2 linked regions of the Danio rerio genome follow. The protein of the gene in region 1 interacts with the protein of each later gene in a pairwise test. Links are inferred from orthologs where the notes say so. Each region holds a gene or a part of one and is shown in the gene's direction. Other genes may lie near its edges.

Evidence for each region.
Region 2: the proteins of tfg (region 1) and pef1 interact in binary tests that used the Homo sapiens proteins (3 or more experiments, as listed by UniProt). The two-hybrid records come from large-scale screens. The link is inferred for Danio rerio from reciprocal best matches to the Homo sapiens genes TFG and PEF1.

What each region holds. Positions count from the first base shown.
Region 1 is NC_133184.1:31,781,816-31,791,078, forward strand, and holds the start of tfg (protein TFG), read left to right. Parts: upstream 1-5,080; 5' UTR 5,081-5,211; intron 5,212-7,359; 5' UTR 7,360-7,363; coding exon 7,364-7,547; intron 7,548-7,771; coding exon 7,772-7,855; intron 7,856-9,263. Other genes in the region: jagn1a (protein jagunal homolog 1-A), read left to right, coding at 2,607-2,695, 2,781-3,243. UniProt on the Homo sapiens protein: Plays a role in the normal dynamic function of the endoplasmic reticulum (ER) and its associated microtubules. Required for secretory cargo traffic from the endoplasmic reticulum to the Golgi apparatus.
Region 2 is NC_133194.1:39,704,889-39,716,397, forward strand, and holds the start of pef1 (peflin), read left to right. Parts: upstream 1-5,760; 5' UTR 5,761-5,779; coding exon 5,780-5,800; intron 5,801-7,599; coding exon 7,600-7,861; intron 7,862-11,509. Other genes in the region: gjb9b (gap junction protein beta 9b), read left to right, coding at 3,865-4,668. UniProt on the Homo sapiens protein: Calcium-binding protein that acts as an adapter that bridges unrelated proteins or stabilizes weak protein-protein complexes in response to calcium.

The sequences.
Region 1 (9,263 bases):
AAAATGCACATTAATCTATTTAACAGTTAATTATAGTCTTACCTGTGTTTCCTCCAGCTCAGTGATTAGCTCCCTTCATCTTGGCTCTTCTCTTCTGTTGTAGGGGTAATTTTGTCACTTCTGAAACCACAGAGCACTTTTTAAAATTGATATTAGTTTACATTACTGTGAAATATCAAAGTAACACATATGTACTAACTTTAACATTTTAATTCGCTCTTGTCGACAGTACAGTGCTTATTTTAGGCTAAATAAAGTAAACTACCTCCAATAAAACATTGTGAAACCTCTCATCTACACATAAAATGTAATTAAAAGCCAACACTTTTATAAACAATAGCTAGCCTAATGCTAACGTTACCTCTGCTAAGACTCTAACGGACTTTTTTAAGACACACCAGTCTCTATAAAAAACACGTTCAACAGAAATATGTCAATTACCAGTAAGAAAAGTGTCAGAAACAGTTGTATGTAACATTTGCGTGATTTTAGCGACTAAACTTACCTGAAATTAGTGAAAACTGCCGCATGAGAGAAGTGCTGTTGACGGTCAGGTGTCGTGTCGTTGCTCCGTTTCCATGACAACGCTCTCTGCTGCAGTGCTTGAATGGGGCTCGGTAATGGACACTTTAAAGTCACGCAGCATTTACATAAACATTTAAACAATTCATAAACATATTAAATAATGACATTTTATATTAAATCTTGATTATTAAACTCAATTTTGTTTTGTTTTAATAATAACCTGTTATATTTAAAACCTCTTTTAGTTTTATATACTAAACTTTGCTTTTATTAATAACTATATTTTTATTCAGTGCCTTATTCGTTTTAAATGTAAAAAGTGTTAAACAAAAGTACTTATATCAGGTACAGAACAGCCTACAACATTAAAAACATCACCGGGTGGGCCATCGGTTTGCCAATGGTGTCCCGACGGCGGTCCACCCACGGTAATCCGCTGGCGGCGTGCCACCCAAAAAACGCCGGTGGGCCGACATAACTTTTAGAATGGGCGGCTTGCCGCCGGTGAGCTGACGGCGGTCCGCTCGTATCAAGCCGCTGAATTTGTGCCGACCAAAAAACGCCAACGGTCCGCCAACTCATTGTTTGCTGGGATCTTTCTAGTCACGTGACCGAATTAATATTAATAACCCAGGCAGGCATTACGCCAGATGTTACATTACATCCGCTTTCCACAGAATGGCCGTCGAGGACCTAATTAATATTCATGAGACAATCCCCCACATCCTGCTCAGTGCTCGGTGATGCTGAGGATGCGCAGAAAGAGATGCTGCTGTCAAATCAATGCGTGCGGAGGGGCGGAGAGATCCTTTACTGCCTATCTTGTGCGCATGATCAACATATTATTGCCTTTCATTGATAAAAAGCCTTTGTGTTAACATTTCCTCATCTTGGGTACTCGCTGGCGCTTTCGGATACGTTTTATCAAGATATACGGTAGGTTATATTGCCGATTTAAAGGCGCATTGCATGAAAAGTAGTTGTCGATGTGTACAGTGTCACGTCTTTTAATTACGTCTCTTGAACGGTGAGTTTAGTTTATCCCTCATCCGGAAACCGGCAGGCAAGATGTACCTATGTTTTTGAGTTGTCCAGAAAAAGGCATTATTGTGTTTCACTTTCGATGCTTATATATGAAAACGCAAAATTGGTCAACTTAGCTTATAGACTGCTACAGCTTTGTCTATACGCGGATATACTGGATTTAAAGATAAGGTAATTTAGATTTAGTAAATTTGTAATATTTGTTTCATTGTGGTAAAGGTCTGGTGAGAATTTTCTCCAATTAAAACATTAATTTAGATTTTTATAATTTTCCCTAAGTTAAAACATTGGTATTGTGTTGTCTGTTTGTCTGTCTATCTGTATTGAATCTTGAATCTGTTTGTCTATGAAATTCTCTATCTATCTATCTATCTATCTATCTATCTATCTATCTATCTATCTATCTATCTATCTATCTATCTATCTATCTATCTATCTATCTATCTATCTATATATATATATATATATATATATATATATATATATATATATATATATATATATATATATATACTGCTCAAGAAAATAAAGGGAACATTGTGTTGTTGAAGTGTTCCCTATTTTTTTTTTTTTTTTTGAGCAGTGTAAATACAATTACAATCATTTTCAAATGGTCACTCATTTTCTCAATAGCTGTAGTATCAATATCCAGTCTTTATCTTTCTGACTAATAAGACAAAGATAAATCATTAAGGTAATTATTTTTTTCATATTCACACTTTCACTCACTTTTGAACAGTGACAACTTGCGACACAGTCCTTATATTTACCACTTTACTTTGAATATTTGCATGTAAAGTACGACTTCAAACAACCTTAGCACTATTGAACTGACTCTGAACATGTTGCTCTTTGATAGCCATTGGCTGCTAATATGATTTCCCAATTTAGATTTTGCAAAGATTACTTTTCTGAAATTATAATATTAGGAAAAAAGTCCAAATGTGCAAAAATAAAATCAACTTTACATCAATTGTTAAATCTATCTATTTTTCTGCATATACTTGCATGGTGTTCCAGTCATCTGGATATTGGCAATGGCATCTCGTGCAGGGCCAAGAGCTGCAGGGACTGATGGCGGTGATTTCAAACACAGAGAGAAAGTGGCTTCTCATTATCAAATGAGGTAACTATATCATCAAACTATCCCTGCAATCTAACATGACCAATAACATTACCAATCTATCATCATCACCAATCCTGTCTTTCAGTGCTTCATCAAAATCTGAGATAAAGAAGCTCACCGTAGTGCATTTCCTCATATGGATACTGGTGGCAGCTCAAGTGGCTGTTAGTCACCTCAATTTGGTGTCTCATGACCTGGTGGCCATGCCCTATCAGTGGGAGTATCCATATCTTCTGAGTCTCGTGCCCTCGTTTATTGGAGCGCTGGCCATGCCGAAAAACAACATCAGCTACCTGGTGATCTCCATGATAAGTGCTGGATTGTTCTCTGTGGCACCCTTGATTTTTGGTGCGATGGAAATGTTTCCTCTGGCCCAGCAGCTGTACCGACATGGAAAAGCCTACAGGTTTATCTTCGGCTTCTCGGCTGTTTCTGTGATGTATCTACTCATGGTGATTGCAATTCAAGTGCATGCATGGCAGATCTACTACAGCAAGAAGCTTCTAGATGCCTGGTTCAACTCAACACTAGAGAAGAAGAAGAAATAAAAACATTTCTGAAATCATTCACCGCTATTTATGTCTCAGTTGCTACTGTATAATGCATGGAGTCATTTATAATGTTTTATAATAAAAAGCTGATCAGTTACATCTGAAATTTTCTTCTAAAAATAGACTTTCTCCAAGAAATCCTTGTGTAGGTTCAGTCATTTCATTTCTTGTCATTGCATTGTAAGTGAAATAACTGAACATACTGTACACACAGAATCTTGAGAAAATGTTGAATTTTAGGATAAGATGTAAGATGACACTTAGAGATTTTTGCATATACTCTTCATATATAACTGTAAGCCAGTTCATTTGATGTATTTTACATGTATTGTCGTATATTTCGTATATATGTTCACTTTGCAATATAAATGTTTTAAGATTTAATTTAAAACAAAACATTTTGTTACATTGCAAGTTGTTACCTCCGATTCAGAAGGTTTGCAGTCTACAGTGTGTTTATACAGAGCCATACAATTCATATGTTACACTTTATAAATAATAATAAAAAAATACTTTAGATATTTAATTGCAGTGAATTCATTCATTTTCTTTTTAGCTTAGTCCCTTTTTTCATCAGGGGTCGCCACAGCGGAATCAACCACCAACTTATCTAGCATATGTTTTATGTTTTCATCTCCCAGCAACAACCCATCACTGGGAAGCACAGTGTAGTTAATATTAAGTATTTCATTTAATTTCTTGATGTTTCTAATTTAACAGAGTGTCAGGCTTCTCTGTGTAGTTTTAGCGCTCATTATCTGCAGAAATGTATTTTTCCTTTATTATTATCATAGTAAACAGCTTGAATGTGATTCTTTTTTTGAATGCAGGTTCAACATCCAGAGGAAAGAGTTTTGAAAATTTCACTGGTTTCATGTTTTTTTTTTTTTTTTTTTAACTTGTTTAAAATGTCTAGTGGAAAAGCGGTTGGCAGTCATTATAAAGATCAAGGAAAACAGGCCTGATATTAAAGTTTTTACTTGTCCAAATATAATTTGTAATGCAAACTGAACTGATAATTTTACAAAGCCTAATATATTATTATTAACTGAATAAGAGCCTATTATTTTGGCATACTGGGAGTGAAATAGCCATAGTCAAATGTACTACATTCACAACAATTAATTATGTGGCTTTATAAGACAGATTCAAACTGGGGCCTGGGTCTATTCAGGGCACGGCAAAATATTCATTCATTCATTATTTTCTTTTTGGCTTAGTCCCTTTATTAATCTGGGGTCACCACAGCAGAATGAACCACCAACTTATCCAGCACTTGTTTTACACAGCAGATGCCCTTCCAGCCGCAACCCCTCTCTGGGAAACATCCATATACTCATTCACACTCATACACTACGGACAATTTAGCCTACCTAGAGAACTCCACACAGAAACTCCAACTGGACCAGCCGAGGCTTGAGCCAGCGACCTTCTTGCTGTGAGGCGACAGCAATAATACAATTTAAGTTATATACACACACACACACACACACACAATTTATATATTTAAATTTATTAAAAAACACATATAAAATAATAATAATTTAAAATAATAATTTACTTAGAAAGATGTTCAAATAAAAATAGTATTCTGATGATAAGAAAATAATTATTAGAATGTAATATGCAAGTATGGGCCTGATAAGATTCTGTTGGTATCATAACCTTAGATAAAAATATCTTAATTAAAAAAAAATAATCTTTTATATACCATAGGAAAAGTATAACAAAGAAGTTATAAAAATTCAGTAGTAAAATAAAATCCATTCAGGATACAGACCACCTTATCGGTAGTAATTAAATTTACAAAACAAGTGAGCAGTGTCTGGATAGCGCGCATGCGCGTTTGTGGTTTTGCCACGTACAGGTCGCTGTGAGGCGTTTCCGATCAGTCAGTCAGGCATCGTTCAGCTGAAGTCCAGGACACACAGGCTACTGCTGGGATTGACACGTCCAAAACACCAGGTACAGGCGCAGGCTTTTCGTATAAACATTTACATATTCTTATACAACAACTTTAGAGGTTTTTTGGGCACCTCTGGAAATGAACCCTTAGTATTTAGCCGGTTGTCAAGCAAACTAGCATTAGCTTAGCTTAGCCTGTGTGAAACTAGGGCAAGCTAAAAACAAGAAAGACGTTTTGTTCAGCGTTTTAAACCACAGTATGGCGTAGTTAAATAGTCGTACTCAAACCACGGAAATAGTAGCTGTTACAATATATTGAGATTTATTTTTTCTTTTGACGCCGGGAGAATTGTTACCCTCAGACCTTTATTTGGCAGGAAGTTGCTGCATCATCAGGTGAATGAGGCCTGATGGGATGTTTTAAATGGATCACGCTTTGGCAAGACTTTTAAACGTCACCCAGCTGCGATGATGGAAAATGGCCCGATGTGGGAAATTATCAACAAAAAAAAACCAACAAAAAAACTCATGCTTTAATAACCTGATTGAAATTACTAAAATGGCTAAAGTGACGCTGTTATTTTCATCTGTGTCTGCCCTGTTTAACGTGTCCACCCATGAGAAACTCCCCATATCCATGACAAAATCGTACAAAATGTTATAACAGCTAATGCCACATCTTTAAGACATGTAATCCTGAATAAATCAGCCTTTGAACAGTTTGCCAAGCAGCCAGTTGTATGGCATTTTTCCTAATCCAGCAGGCAGAATGAGTTTCAGTCAGTAGTTATCACTGAATACCATGTGAGTTAAATACAGGTCTGTCCACATGCTGCTGTGAACATTGCTAGTTTGAATAAATCAGAGAGTAAGATCAAAGTAAGAAAGTCGAGACTGTCCTGATAAGATTGCTTCAGTTGATCAAATCATTTAAAATGAAATCTAAAACCTGAAATGTTTTACCGTTTTTTTCTTAGGCCAAAGTCTGTGTTAGGAAAGATTCATGGTCCTCAACATGTGCCAAATCATCTTCTATCTCGTGACCCTTAGACTTTTAGGAAGTTGTAGTATGTCCCAGTAAACTAATATATCTGTACAGTAGCACTTGTTCAGATAAAACCTAATATTTGAGTCATATGGCTGTGGGTTTTGGAGTACGACAATGTTTTTATATACATAACAAAAGCTTGAGAGTCGGTGGTGAGTGCAGACACTCATTGGGTTACGGCTCTCGGATTTTATGGTGAACTGTTGTGTTGCGAGTGGAAATGTGTGGTTCTGTTAGAGGAACATAATGAGTGTGTTGTCGGTTTTATGAGTTTGTGCATGAAGACCTTTAATTCAGTGCTGCAGCTCTGATGGTGTGTTTGGTCTCAGCTTGGTGATGTACTATCAGATGACGTCTGATGTGCATGTGATGCATTATATATTGATAAATGACCTCTTTTTTTTAATAAACTGGATAATTGTACGAGTGATAGTATATGACCTGGCATAAAATTTTTTAGATCTTTCTCACAAGCACTGTGCGATGTCTGACAGACCGCACTAATGTCTTTCTTTTATTTTTCATTCTATTAAAACCTGTTTTAATGCATTTTAATCTGTTTTATTTGTTTTAAATCATTTTTATTTTTTGTTTTTATTTTCTTATACTTGTCTCTCTTATTCCTGTTTATGTATAGTACTTTGAATTACCATTGTGTATGAAATGGGCTATACAAATAAATTGCCTTGCCTTACTCTGGTACAGCCTTGTCAATAGAGTAAGCAAATAGTAAACCATTTTTGTTGTTGTTTGTGTATCATTTTGAGCCATATTTAAGTGTTTTGTTGAGTTAAATTTAAGCAGTTTAGTATGCAGTAGTGTATGTCTCATTTGCTACTGTATTGCTTTGGATAAACCATACTGTTTTAACAAGAATAGCATATTTGACAACATATTACTATAATTTGTTCGATCAAATCTGATGGCAACCTTGTCAAATAGTGGCTTAACATTTTAAAACCTTTATTTTTTGCATCTCTAATATTTTTTTTTACTAATAGATTAAGGTTTTTGTTTAATTTCACAAATTTTCTTTCTCATTTATTATTGTATTCAATTAAATTATATTAAATACTGTGCTTTTTAGCTATCAGAACCGAATTGATGAATCACGCATATTTTTCCCCTATGTAGTATTTACAGTACAGTTTTATTTTCAGCAGTATGAATGGACAGCTGGACCTGAGTGGGAAGCTGATCATCAAAGCTCAGCTGGGTGATGATATTCGCCGTATTCCTATCCACAATGAAGACATCACCTACGACGAGCTCCTGCTGATGATGCAGAGAGTTTTTCGTGGCCAGTTACAGAGCAGCGATGAAGTCACCATCAAATACAAGGACGAAGGTCAGATTTAGGCTTCAGAAAGTTACAACTTAACTTTTTTAGTAATTTCACACTATTCAAATAGTTACTCGGTTTTTTTAATAGCAATGAAGCAAAAAACATATAGGAGCTATACACATATCGAAATCCCTCAGTAGTATCACTGTCTAGATGTCCACCTGCAAATAACGATTTCATTCTCTGCTACCTTTTTCATCATTCATCTTTGTCTTTTTTTCTTCCAGATGACGACCTTATCACCATCTTTGACAGTTCTGATTTGTCTTTTGCGATCCAGTGCAGTAGAATATTGAAGCTCACTCTTTTTGGTAAGAAACCAGCAATGCTTGGGGATTTTTGCATATCTTAATATATTGGATTATATAAAAACGTTTGCAGTAATACACTTACAGTGGAATATATGGGCATATGATGGAATTGCATACCAGCCGTGTTTTGAACATAAAAAAAATAAATGTGGTTGTTTTCATTAGGTATTGCCTTGAAACAGCATGTGAAGAATGTGATGTAACTGTTTACACATACAGAATACAAGCAAAAACACACCAAGGGTGCACATCCAGTAGACAAAAAGCTAAAAGAAATCAAAATAGGTACACCACAGCTCCAAAAATAGCGAAATATTTATAATTTTCTCACAACAGGTAACATTGTGACACTCTTTATAATATATACAGAATTCAAACACCCAGTTGTTTCACATAACCAGAAGTTAATTGGGGTAAAATGTAATTCCAACATAAAAAAACAATCTAGAAAAGCTTTACAGGTCATCATTGTTTTTGTGCTTTTTAATCTTAAATGTGTCGCTTGTATTTTTTTGTTTAACCTTTCTATGAAGTCTTTGATTGTAGCTTTATTTATTATTGTAAATGTGTTATTTATTTCTACAATCTAAGGCTTATTTTCTGTTGTAAATGACAACAGGCCACTGATACAGGCTCAACAACAACAGATCTCATTAATATTAATCATTCTCAGAGTTAAGGTCAGTGAGCATGTGTAGGTTTTTCTTACCTGCAGTGAGATCAGATTCCAAAAACGCTCCAGTGTCATGCTGTCTCTTGAAAGAATAATCAAAATGGCGTACTGCACTATAAGGACAACATTAATATGCAGCTCACATTGTTTTTAATACTCTTTAGAAGAACTTTATGAGAATAGAATAAAACCAGAATATTAAATTTAAAGCTTGTATCTTTGTGACCCAAAAAACACAGAGTTTTATACTGAGCAGTAACCTTTGGGTTAAAATGGACTCTCTGTTAAGCACATAATCCTACATCAGCATGGGTGGTGTAATATTGCGGACTTAAGCTTTTAATCTTAAAAATGTTGAACTTGGTAATATTACATCCAACCAGGAGATGTCGTTTTTCTCTTTCAAGGAAACAGCTATAGAGGGTGTCCAGCAGAGGGTGCAATAAAACCAGATGTGATCTGATAGCGAGTCGATGTCAAGCCTTTTGAGCTTATCAGCTGCGTTCAAATAGGGATTGAGGAGGCAGTTGGACCTAAAGTTTAGGTGATGGACCCTTTAAATCGCACTTTAGTGTAGAAATACCTGTAGAGCAAGAAATAGTTTAACGTACATTTTTTTTTTACATCCATTACAGATGTTAACTGATTTAATGCAGTGTTAATAAACATTCAGTATTACTCCTATTCTTTAAGAACAAGCCTGTGACTAGTGGATTCTTTAACATGGGTGGTTTG
Region 2 (11,509 bases), on another chromosome or scaffold:
ATGTGTTATACACAGAGACATCCATTAGCCAATACATAATTCATTTTGTTTAATAAGCGCAAAGATTTTTTTTCAAAACTATTTCTAAATTCAGTTCTAATTTCCAGCAAGCGAATAAATAAACAATAATAACGAAGTGTTTTCCAAATACACATGCTGACAGGTGGGCAAATCTAAGCTTGTTTTTAATAAAACAAATATAAATATGCATATAATAAATGATACTACTACTAAAAATAACATTATACAAAAGCAAATTGTCATGAATAAACTAAAAAAGCCCCGCGAGGTGAAGAAGGCATGGAGGTGGTGGATTTAATATTTAAGTAGGCTAGAAAATAATAATTTTTGTAATACTTTATTCCTTTAATTATTTTTAATTTTTAAAGATATTTGCGTATTGCTGTACATTCAGTGTGTATTAAGCAATATTTAAGCGAGGCGCACAACTAACGCGCTCTGCGCTGGACTTCCGAAATAGCAACACGCCTCCTTTTTTAAACCAGAACGCCTATGGGCGCACATATGAGCGCAAATGCATTTGCTATTAAAACAGCGTGTTGCAAAACGTCTAAAATGACTATTGCGCCGAGCTAAAACTAGCAAACAACAATTGCGTTGCGCCGCATTGCGCTGGGTGTATGATAGGGCCCTAAAAAATGAGCGATTGGTCCATATCCTTCACTTTCGCCAATTGGTGAAGTTTTTTTTTCTCACTGCTCTTGTCTCTGGTTTGTATGGTTCAGGACTTGTAGAGCTGCGCATCAATAGATTACTCTTCAGCGGTTGGACTCTCAGTAAATATTAAACCACACTCACCTGAACTGAACTAAACTGAATTGAATTTAAACTCTGAAAACTGAACTGACACAGTTTCAATTCAGTATAATCTTTAATGTAAAGCTGCTTTGACACAATCTAAATTTGTAAAAGCGCTAAACAAATAAAGATGAACTGAAAATTAAAATTTTCTGTACAGAGAGGTCCTGTTTTAATCTTCGATTGGTCTCATGCAGTCACGTGATGCAATTTTGCAGGTTAAAGTTCACCGAGCTTGAACTTTGCAATGCAGCAAACCGTGAAATGTATGAGCTTTTGTTTCCAGTTTGTTGCATTTGCTTGCATATGGATGGAAGTCTATGGGGCGAAAAGTGCAGTGTTTCCGCGGCTTTACTCTTCAGAGAGATTGGTTATTGGCGATTCTCGATCAGTTCTTTTAAGGACACAACGTCTCCATTCCCTCCCTCGGGGAACGTGGGTTACAGTCTTAACCAGGATGTTGTATCGTTTTTTTTGTTTTGTTTTTTTTTTTAAATGGCACATACATAAAATATTCCACCCATTCATGGAATGTTGTTTTTAGCCTGGTTTATAAATATTGTACAGACACTTTCAGTTTGACTGCAATTGCTTTGAACATTTTGAACTTTTAAAACTTTTAAAACTTTTAATATTATCCTGCTTATTATCTTTAAACTACAGTATTTTATGTGACAACATAAAAAAGAATAAAAAACTGTCTTCATGATTCGTTAAAAATGGGATGTCAAATTTTCAGTTATAAAAGATTGATAAGAATATATACTGTAGCTTTACAAGAATTTAGTTCTCACCGCAATATAAGATTATGTCTTTGTATATAAAACAATGTTTTTTTAATGCTAGCACTCCTCATACAGTGCAGTACAGTAGTCAGCAAAACACACACACACACACCCATATAAACACACACACACCTACAGCACCTACAGTATATAAACAAAGAATTGCCATCCCATGAAGGTTTGCTTAGCTTTAAACAACCTTTATGTAATGCCCCTGGCAATGGGCGTTATAAAAAAACTGATTACCATAGTAAATACCCCACAGCTGAGTGGAAGCAGAAGTTAGACAGTTTTATTTTTGTTTTGATTCATTAGATTTCATTTCATCTAAACTCAGGTGATTGTCATAGATAGAATCAGACACTTTCCACCAATCAGGTCTTTCTTGATTGTCAGCCAAAGGAAAAGCTATTGCTCTTCCTCACAACAGCCGAAATCCCAAAAGGTAAGGACATATCGCTTGGATTTCTTCAAAATAAAGTTTATAAAAATAGTTTATATACAAATCAGCTAGCACTGTAGATACTGTATTGTTTCAGTATGTACAGTATTATTTTGACCGTTAACAAACATAATTGGATATGCTAATTTGATTGGGGCATTTTGTACAGTTTCTCATAAAGCTAAATTAGAGCCCATTGTTATGCTTTGGATTCACAAATCTAAAATCTAAATAACACTAATAGTTAGCTTCTTGTACTTTTAATTACGGTTTGTGTCAAACTAATGACAGGTTACAGCATACTAATTATGTGACCTAGTTAGTTGTCAATGCAAATGCTATTTCTACTGAAAACTAACAAGAACACATTTAATACTATGGTAAAAGATATGCAGATCTAAATTGGTAAACAATAAAAATTAACAATACTATCCTTAACTACATATGTTGACTTGTTTTCGTTCAAATGTGTTGATTGCTTTGTGAACAAAAGGGGGAAAGAATCAAACGAAAGCCGCCAAAAATGGATCATTGCTGCCTTTAGAAATAATTTAACTGCATGTTGCAACCTGTTGACATTACATGCTTGAAAGGTGACACCATCAATATCTTTCCTCAATTTTTTTCTTCTTTAATTTTTTGGGGAACAAATTGTCTTTAAAAATTAAAGAAAGGAAAAAAACTGATTGAATTCAGAGGTTACGGAAAACACTTGTTTTCTTTAGCTTTTAATCATGTGTTGTGAGTAATAAGTGTATTTTGGCTTCTTGCATGTTTGCATGTATTGTGTGTTTTTATGTACAGCACTTTGGTACCCATTGTGGTTGGTTGAAATTGCTCTAAAAATAAATTGAGTTGAGTTGAGAGTTGAATTAATCATTGAAAAGCAGAACAACAGTGTTGCTCAAAGGCCATTCTGTTGAGAACAATAGAATACTCAATGTGAAACTGAAAGTATTTAGATTTCAGAAAGTTGATTTCGGGACAGTATGGGTCATAATAGTATTAAAAATGACAAAATAAATAAATATATAAATATTTAATGCATAAATAAATACAAAAGGTGTACTTTTTAAAAGTATGAATAAAACCTGATTACATGTGTGTGTCTGTGTGTGAATTAAGTAAATAAATAAATAAAAATATTAAAAAGTATTATGTACAGTACAGCTAGGTTAAAAATCTTGTCCAATATACATTAAATAAATATTTATAAATAAAAGTATTACTAAAATTGTAAAGGTTTAAATCATTTTAAATAACACGGGTCTTAAAAAAAAGGAACATTGCAATGCTCATAATGAAAAAAATATGGATATTAATTCAACAGTATTATTAAATTATTATTGTTTTCAAAAATCATCTACAGTATATTTTATTCATAAAATAGATTCAGCATGTTATTATGAATAAATATACCTGTATGACCAAATATACTCATATTTCCTTTTCATTTAGGGATAAAAATAATTTTGAAAGTATCAAACTGTTTTAATAAATATTGTTGTGATCTTGATGTCATTCATGCTGCTAAGATGTTTAATGTTTAGATCAACATTTAACTAAAACTACAGCAGTTTTAAAATCCCAGCACTATCTTCATGTTAGCCTGACTTTGTTTACAATTTGAGCTTGAAGTATATTGAAGCCTTAAGTTGACCTATTAGATGAAGAAGGCAAAGGAACTCTAAATGTACTAAAAGAGAAAAAAAGCAAGTACTATTTTAATGTAAATAAAAACAAATTTGCTTGTTTATGTATTTATTTTGTAGGGCTAATATCCTGGAATGAGTAAGACGCTTGTTTGCAGCATCAGACATGAACTGGTTGTCCCTAGAAGTCCTGCTTGGCGGGGTTAGCCAATACTCCACTGTGTTTGGCCGTGTCTATCTCTCCGTGGTGTTCATCTTCCGAATCCTGGTGTTTGTGGTGTCTGTCCAGCAAGTCTGGAACGACGAACAGAAAGACTTCATCTGCAACACGGCCCAGCCAGGCTGCACCAATGTCTGCTACGACCAGTTCTTCCCCATATCCCACATCCGTCTATGGGCTCTCCAGCTTATTTTCGTCACTTGTCCATCTCTCATGGTGGTCGCTCACGTCAAATATCGACAAATGAAGAATGTGAAGTACAACACTGCCCGCAATGGTGAAAACATGTATGCAAACCCAGGAAGAAAGCGTGGAGGCCTGTGGTACACCTATATCCTCAGCCTGTTATTCAAAGCCGGCTTTGATGCAGCATTCTTGTATATTTTGTACTACCTTTATAAATTCGACATGCCAAATGTTACCAAATGCACTGCGGAACCTTGTCCAAATACAGTGGACTGCTATATCTCCCGTCCCACAGAGAAGAAAATCTTCACTCTTTTTATGGTGGTCTCCTCCTCTGTGTGCATCTTCATGTGTATCTGTGAGATGGTGTATCTGATTACAAAGAAAGCTGGCAAATTTCTGCACAAAAAGAGTGAGGAGAATAGAAACTACATAAGCAGAAGGGTGGATCCGACGGCCATGTCCAACCAGAATCTCAACAATCTTAAAATGGCACAGGCTGCAGAAGAACTAAAAAATTCTGAGATGATCCATTCCGAGTTGAACAAATTATATGAACGCTGACTTTGTAATGAATTATAATAGTAGACACAATGAACTTGAATAATAATGTAGATAATATGATTAATGCATACACTAAATGGGATATTTGCACTTTAAAGTAACTAATATATGTCTTTTTTGTATACAGTATGTTATAATTGTGATGAAATTGGAAGGTCATCTTGTGTCTCATTTACTCATTTAAGATGTACACTGCCACCTAGTGTACTTATCCAAGTGTAGGATTGTTCACAAAACACTGATAGCATACAGCACTTAAACCCTTGAAAAAGGTACTGTATTAACTGTGGACACATTAATGCCTTCCTTATTTTCTAAAATAGCTGTGTTTGTACTATATAATGTAATAGTCTGTGTAAGTTAGTGCACTGTGTATTCATATTGTTTACAGGAATCATGCTGTGAAATATACCAAATGTGGCAGGGTATATTTTGAACACGACTCATTAGATTTGAATATTATTAATGCTATTTAATAAACTACTTAATGCGATGATGATGATTATTATAGAATTTAATTTGGTAACACTTTATTTTGATGGTCCATTTGAGTATTAGTGCTGTCTGCTTAATATCTCCTTCAACAGACGTTTAACTGACTATAAGAAACTTTGCAAGTACATGTCAACTTACACTAACCCCAAACCTAACCCCTACTAATAGTAACAGTCTACTTATAATCTAATAAGAATTAGTTTGCATGTAGATGCAATGTAACTTAAATTCAACAAACGGATCGTCAAAATAAGGTTAGATCTTATCATCTAATGACAATGTCAAGTCAAGTCAGGACAAATCTTTAGTCACAGGGCTCTGTGTAAAAACCTTATTTGATGAACTTTCATTTCAAGTTCCATAAAAAATGTTAACTCTTACCTTACATATTATATCTATCCTCCTTTATAAACATGGTAACTACAACAAAACGTGTCTTTACGTACATAGCGTGACTCACAGTGTAAGCTATGAGCAATTTTCCATTGCTTTAACCAATCAGATTGAAATATGAGGCTTTTCCGTTGACAAACGTGAAAACGCACCAATCAGCGTTAAGAGGCGGGTCTTGTTAAATAAACCCCAGTCGCTCCATTTGCTAAAGATTTTTCGCGGAATGAGTTATCAATACGGACAGGTAAAGTTTGTCTTCCGGGTTTAACTATTTGACATTAATATATGTGTGTTTTATGTTTATGTGGGTGTCTGGTTTGTGTCTTAGAATCTGAACTTAATGTATAGTGAAATTATGCTTAATTACTCGCACAATCGCGTAAATATTTGTAGAAACAGGCTTTTAGGCTAATCAGTTAGCCCTGTTGCTACTGTGATGTACAATGTGATGACAAGTACAATGCCTTGGTTTTTGTTTGAACAAATCAGTTAATCGCGTGCCTTTCAGTAGTTTTAACGTTAGTGAACATACGCATCTTTTTAGTTAATGTCATATGACCAAGATTAACAATAGAAATGTCTCTCTTGAATCTAGCCGTGGTGTTCTTTCCCCTCATCCGTCAGTAAACCGTATTTCACATGTATTCCAGGGTCTATAATCACAGTATAACAACGTGAGTGTACCAGTATAACTTCGTGTATTAATGTTGCCACTTTTCATCCGCAAAACACAAGAGAGGATGCTAGACAGTCACCTTCATTGTATGGAAAAAATGCAGTGACGTGAATGGATTAAATATGTAAATATGTGCTCTCGTGTTATTCCTCGGAATTGGAATATCAATATCTGTTTCTGTTTACTGCTGTACTGACAATTATAATTGAGGTAAAGTTGGTTTTACATTCGCACATTCACTTTCACTTTCTTAACATAATTTCAGAAAAGTATTCTTTGCTAATTCAAAATAGGGAAATCACATTAGCACCCAATAACTATCAAAGTACAACATTGTTCAGTCAGTTAAATAGTGATTATATTGATTTGAAGCCATTCTTATGTGTGATTACAGACCCAATATTCAACGTAGAATGGTAAACTATTTAGGGACCATGTCTCTGTCAGAAGTTAGTGTGAAACATTAATGTATGTCATTACAATTAACCTGTATTAGGCATTTTAAATCCTTCTCTTGTATTTTATTGAACACCAAAGTCTGAATGTGTGAATATAAAACTAACTTAACTTTAATACAATTATATAACTGCCAGCATTGAGGCAAAATTGTTTTATATTCGCAAATGTGGTACCAAATATAATTTCAGAAAATTATTCTTTGGAAATTCTTAATAGGGAAATCATACTTGCAGCCAATTTCTATCAAAGTACAACACTGTTCAGTCAATTAAATAGTGCTTATGTTGTTTTGAATACATTCTTGCTTGTAATTTAAAACCCAATATTCAATGTAGCGTGGTAAACAGTTTAGGGACAGTGTCACAAGTTGTGCTCAAAAAAGTATGCCGTTATAATTAATCAGTATTAGCCTTTTTACATTCTGCTTTAGTATTTTATTGAACACCAAAGTCAGAATATGTAAATATAAAACCAATTTAACCTCAATACAATAGCATAATATTAACATTTGAAATATTTTTATTATTAATTATTCTTTGATATTGCATTTGTATTTGTTATAGACCACAACTGACAACAGTTTTGAGGTAAAGTTGGTTTTATATTCGCAAATGTGGTACCAAATATCATTTCAGAAAATTATTTTTTGGAAATTCAAAATAAGGGAAATCATATTAGCAGCCAATCATTATCAAAGTACACAATGTTCAGTCAATTAAATAGTGCTTATGTTGTTTTGAAGACGTTCTTGTTTGTAATTTAGGACCCAATATTCAAAGTAGCATGTCACAAATTGTCATTGGTCAAAAATGAACGAATGTGCGAATATAAAACCCACTTTACCCCAATGACAAGCATTTCATTTCAGCTAGTTAATATCGTATGCTTTTCTTTACTTGTTTCCAAAGGGTTATTCGGGACCAGGGGGTAATGCTCCCCAGTGGCAGCAGCCTCCAAGGGCACCATATGCAGGTGGTCCTGCTGCTGGACAGTATGGTTCACCTTATGGCAGTGCCCCTCCAGGGCAACAGTATGGAGGAGGGTCTCCATATGGATCTTATGGTCAACCTGGTCCAAGAGCACCATACGGAGGGGGTCAAGCTCCAGGGGGTCCATACGGAGGTTATGGACAACCTCAAGGAGGACCATACCGTCAGCAGGGATCAGCAGGTTAGACATGTGTAACTCTACTGTGTTTTAGTTGGGCTAAGTATTATATAGGTATCATATATATATACTACTAAATTATTCCTGTTTGCATATTTGTGTGGTTCCATTGGCCCTAAAAAATATTCTTAAGCTAAACTTGAATTGATGATATAAAATATAATTAAGCGTTTAAAATGCAAACAATGTGCATGGCTTGCATTATGATCATTGTATTTTTATTAATATGTCAACAGTAGTCAACATTTAAAATTAAAAAATAAAAAGTATCAAAGTTGCCCTAAAACTACTGGACAATATCCACTCTTGACTTAGGACAGTATTGAAATATTCATTTGGCCCACTTTTAATGTAGACTACTGTATTTAGCATTACCCGGTATAGACGATTGAAACAAAAGCATTGTAAGATCTGTAGGTAAAAACTCAATATTTTCAGCAGAACTTTTAAAGTGAATTGATATAAATAAAAACACATATTCATCTTGCTAACCTGCCTTTGAAAAGTAAATGATCACGTAACAGAATGCAAAATCCAATAAAAAGCTGAATATGAACTTGTGAAAAGGTTGTTATATTTGTAAGAATATTTAAGAGTATTCATTCATACCGTTTGTACTCAAAATCAGTAGAAAATTATGCTCTTGTCCTTTATAGCCAGTAGAATAACAAAACATTGAGCAAAGCTATAACAAAGTCTACACAACACAGCATTTTATTTTAAGTCAAAATACCACCTCACTCTGTTTTCTATGCAAGTTTTTCTGAAACTGCCATGAGTCATCACTCAAGCAATGAGAAAATGAAACAGGTTAATCAAAGGGGTAAAATAAAATATAGTTTTGTGCTCCAATAATACACTTTTTAGACTAATTTCTTGTCTATGAAGGGACAATAATCTTAATAATCAAACATGCATAATCTGACACAGTGACCATTGTAACAGACACAAACAGTGTAGTTTTAAACCTGGAAAAAAGCTTTTAAGTGTCTTTTAACAGCCACAACCTTTAGAAATGTAATCTATATTATTTTAATTTAGAATCTTTTAATTAATACATTTAACTCCTATTTCAAATCAAATCACTTTTATTGTCACATCATCAGCCACACACGTACTATGATGAGTGAAAAGCTTAGGTGCTGGCTCTAAAATACAGACAATGCAAAATACAACAACATACTCCAAAAAACAATACAATATGCATTATTTTAAATTATACAATATATTTATATAGTATACAATATATTTATCTACAAAATATTTTTACAACATACATTATTAAAACAATATACAACATTTTACTTGCAATAATGAATAGATTATCCAAAAATGAAAATTGTCATCATTTAATCACATTACTTGATTTGTTCCATACCACTTTTGAGGTTTTTTTTTTTCGTCTTCTTTTTTTTTTAGCACAAAACAAGATATATGGAAGAATGTTTGAAACATGTAACCATTGGCTTCCATAGTGAGAAAAATGGTCACACTTTACAATAAGGTTTCATTAGTTAATGTTCTTACTAACATAAACTAATAATGAAGAGTACTTGTGCAGCATTTATTAATCATAGTTCAGCATTTCCTAATGCATTATTAACGTATAATGTGTATTTACATCCAAATCCATGCTTGTTAACATGAAAGCACTGTGAGTTAATATGAACTAACAATGAATAATTGCACAAATCCCCTTACTGTAAAACACATTTTATTGCACTGTCCTACTTTAATGATAAGGCTTTTTTATGAAATTAACTTTCTTAAGGACATTTTTAACAAAGTGACACCTGGATCAATTTTAGACTTTTTATCATGTATTAACGCTAAAAATCGTATTTAATTTATGTATTTATGTGTTTGCTGGTTTTTATTGTTTATTAATTATTGAGATTTTCTTGCCATGAAAATAGCTTTTGTTGCTGACATGCCATTAAATAAAAATTTCATTACACTACATTAACTTTATTTCCTTTAACTAACCTTAAAAATGGGATTAAATATCGTAATTAATGCATTGTTTGTTTTTTGTTCGCGTTAGTAAATACATCAACTAACATTAATTAATACAGCCTTATTGTAAAGTGTAACTAGAAAAACAAATACTATGGGAATTAATGGTTATTAGTTGTCAACGTTATTTAATATATCTTTTTTTGTGTTGACTTGAAAGAAAGAAAAAAAAAAAAAAAAAAAAAAAAATATATATATATATATATATATATATATGTGTATATATATATGTGTATATATATATATATATATATATATATATATATATATATATATATATATATATATATATATATATAATTTTTTTTTATTTTATTTTTATTTTTTTACTGGTTTGGAACAAATAAATAGTGTGCAAATGATGACATCAATTTAATATGTAAACTATCCCTTTTATTATACAATAAACATTCCTAAATAGGATCTGATAGGAATATATACTAGGAATGTGGTTTGCAATCTATCACTTTTAACCGAATGTTTTCCACAGCTTCATACATCTGCAAATGCAGCGTAATAGATGTTGCTCCAGCTTGTGAATTTTTCAGCGTGGTCTCAGGAGTGGTCGGCAGCAGCTCTAGGCTGCTTTGACTGATGATGTCTGAGTGTCAGGGTTGGCAGCTAAGACACCGCGAGCCGCTGCTGTTCCATCAGGCATGCAGTGGCCGAGGGCTGTGAATAAAAGACGAAAGATCGGAATTTATGAAGGCGCTGCAGACAAGGTCCTTGATCCTCCTGCTCTGCAGCTGTGTCATATGCCCCTCACAAATGACTGATGCTGATACACCACAGGATGGCACAAGCATCTTGTACTGATCTGGTACAGAACGTGCCCAGGGGAGAATTAGAGTGATGAGTGTGGTAATAATTCCGAGAGAAAAGGTTCGTGCGGTTGTCTCTGCCTGCGTTTAAGTCCATAAGTATTCTATAATGTCCTGTGGGAATGGCTGTCAGATTCGAAGACTGTCCTCTGAACAGTGCTTATTCCTCCCGAGGGATACAGTGACCGTCTGCGCTTCACCAAATTGCACAACTTATTCTTGTCCCTCTTGGGACCGAGACGACATATCACTGACAGCATAGGCTTGCTCATGTTCAACCCATTTCCAATGTTTTTTTTTTTTTTTTCTCAAACATGACCTGTAGGACTGCTTGTCCTCATCATCATTCTGCTCATTTTTCAAAGTAATGAACAATTTCTTTTGCACATTTATGCATATGCTGTATCTTAAACAGCTCTATTCAATACATAAGAGATGTCATGTGAGTATAAATGAGCTAATTTAGTTTCTGCTGTATACACTAGGGTTATTTTTAATTTCAAACTAATGTTCTGTCTGTCATTTATAATTTGTTTTTGTTTAGTTTGTTGAAATATAGTAGTTTAGTATTTAAATTAATAACTAAAACTAAAAATACCTATATAAAATAATTAACTATATAGACATATTCAACCAAAATGTAAATAAAAAGAATATATATATATATATATATATATATATATATATATATATATATATATATATATATATATATATATATATATATATATATATATATATATATATATATATATATATATATATATATATATATATATATAAGACTACAATATATTTTTTCAAATTTAAATTT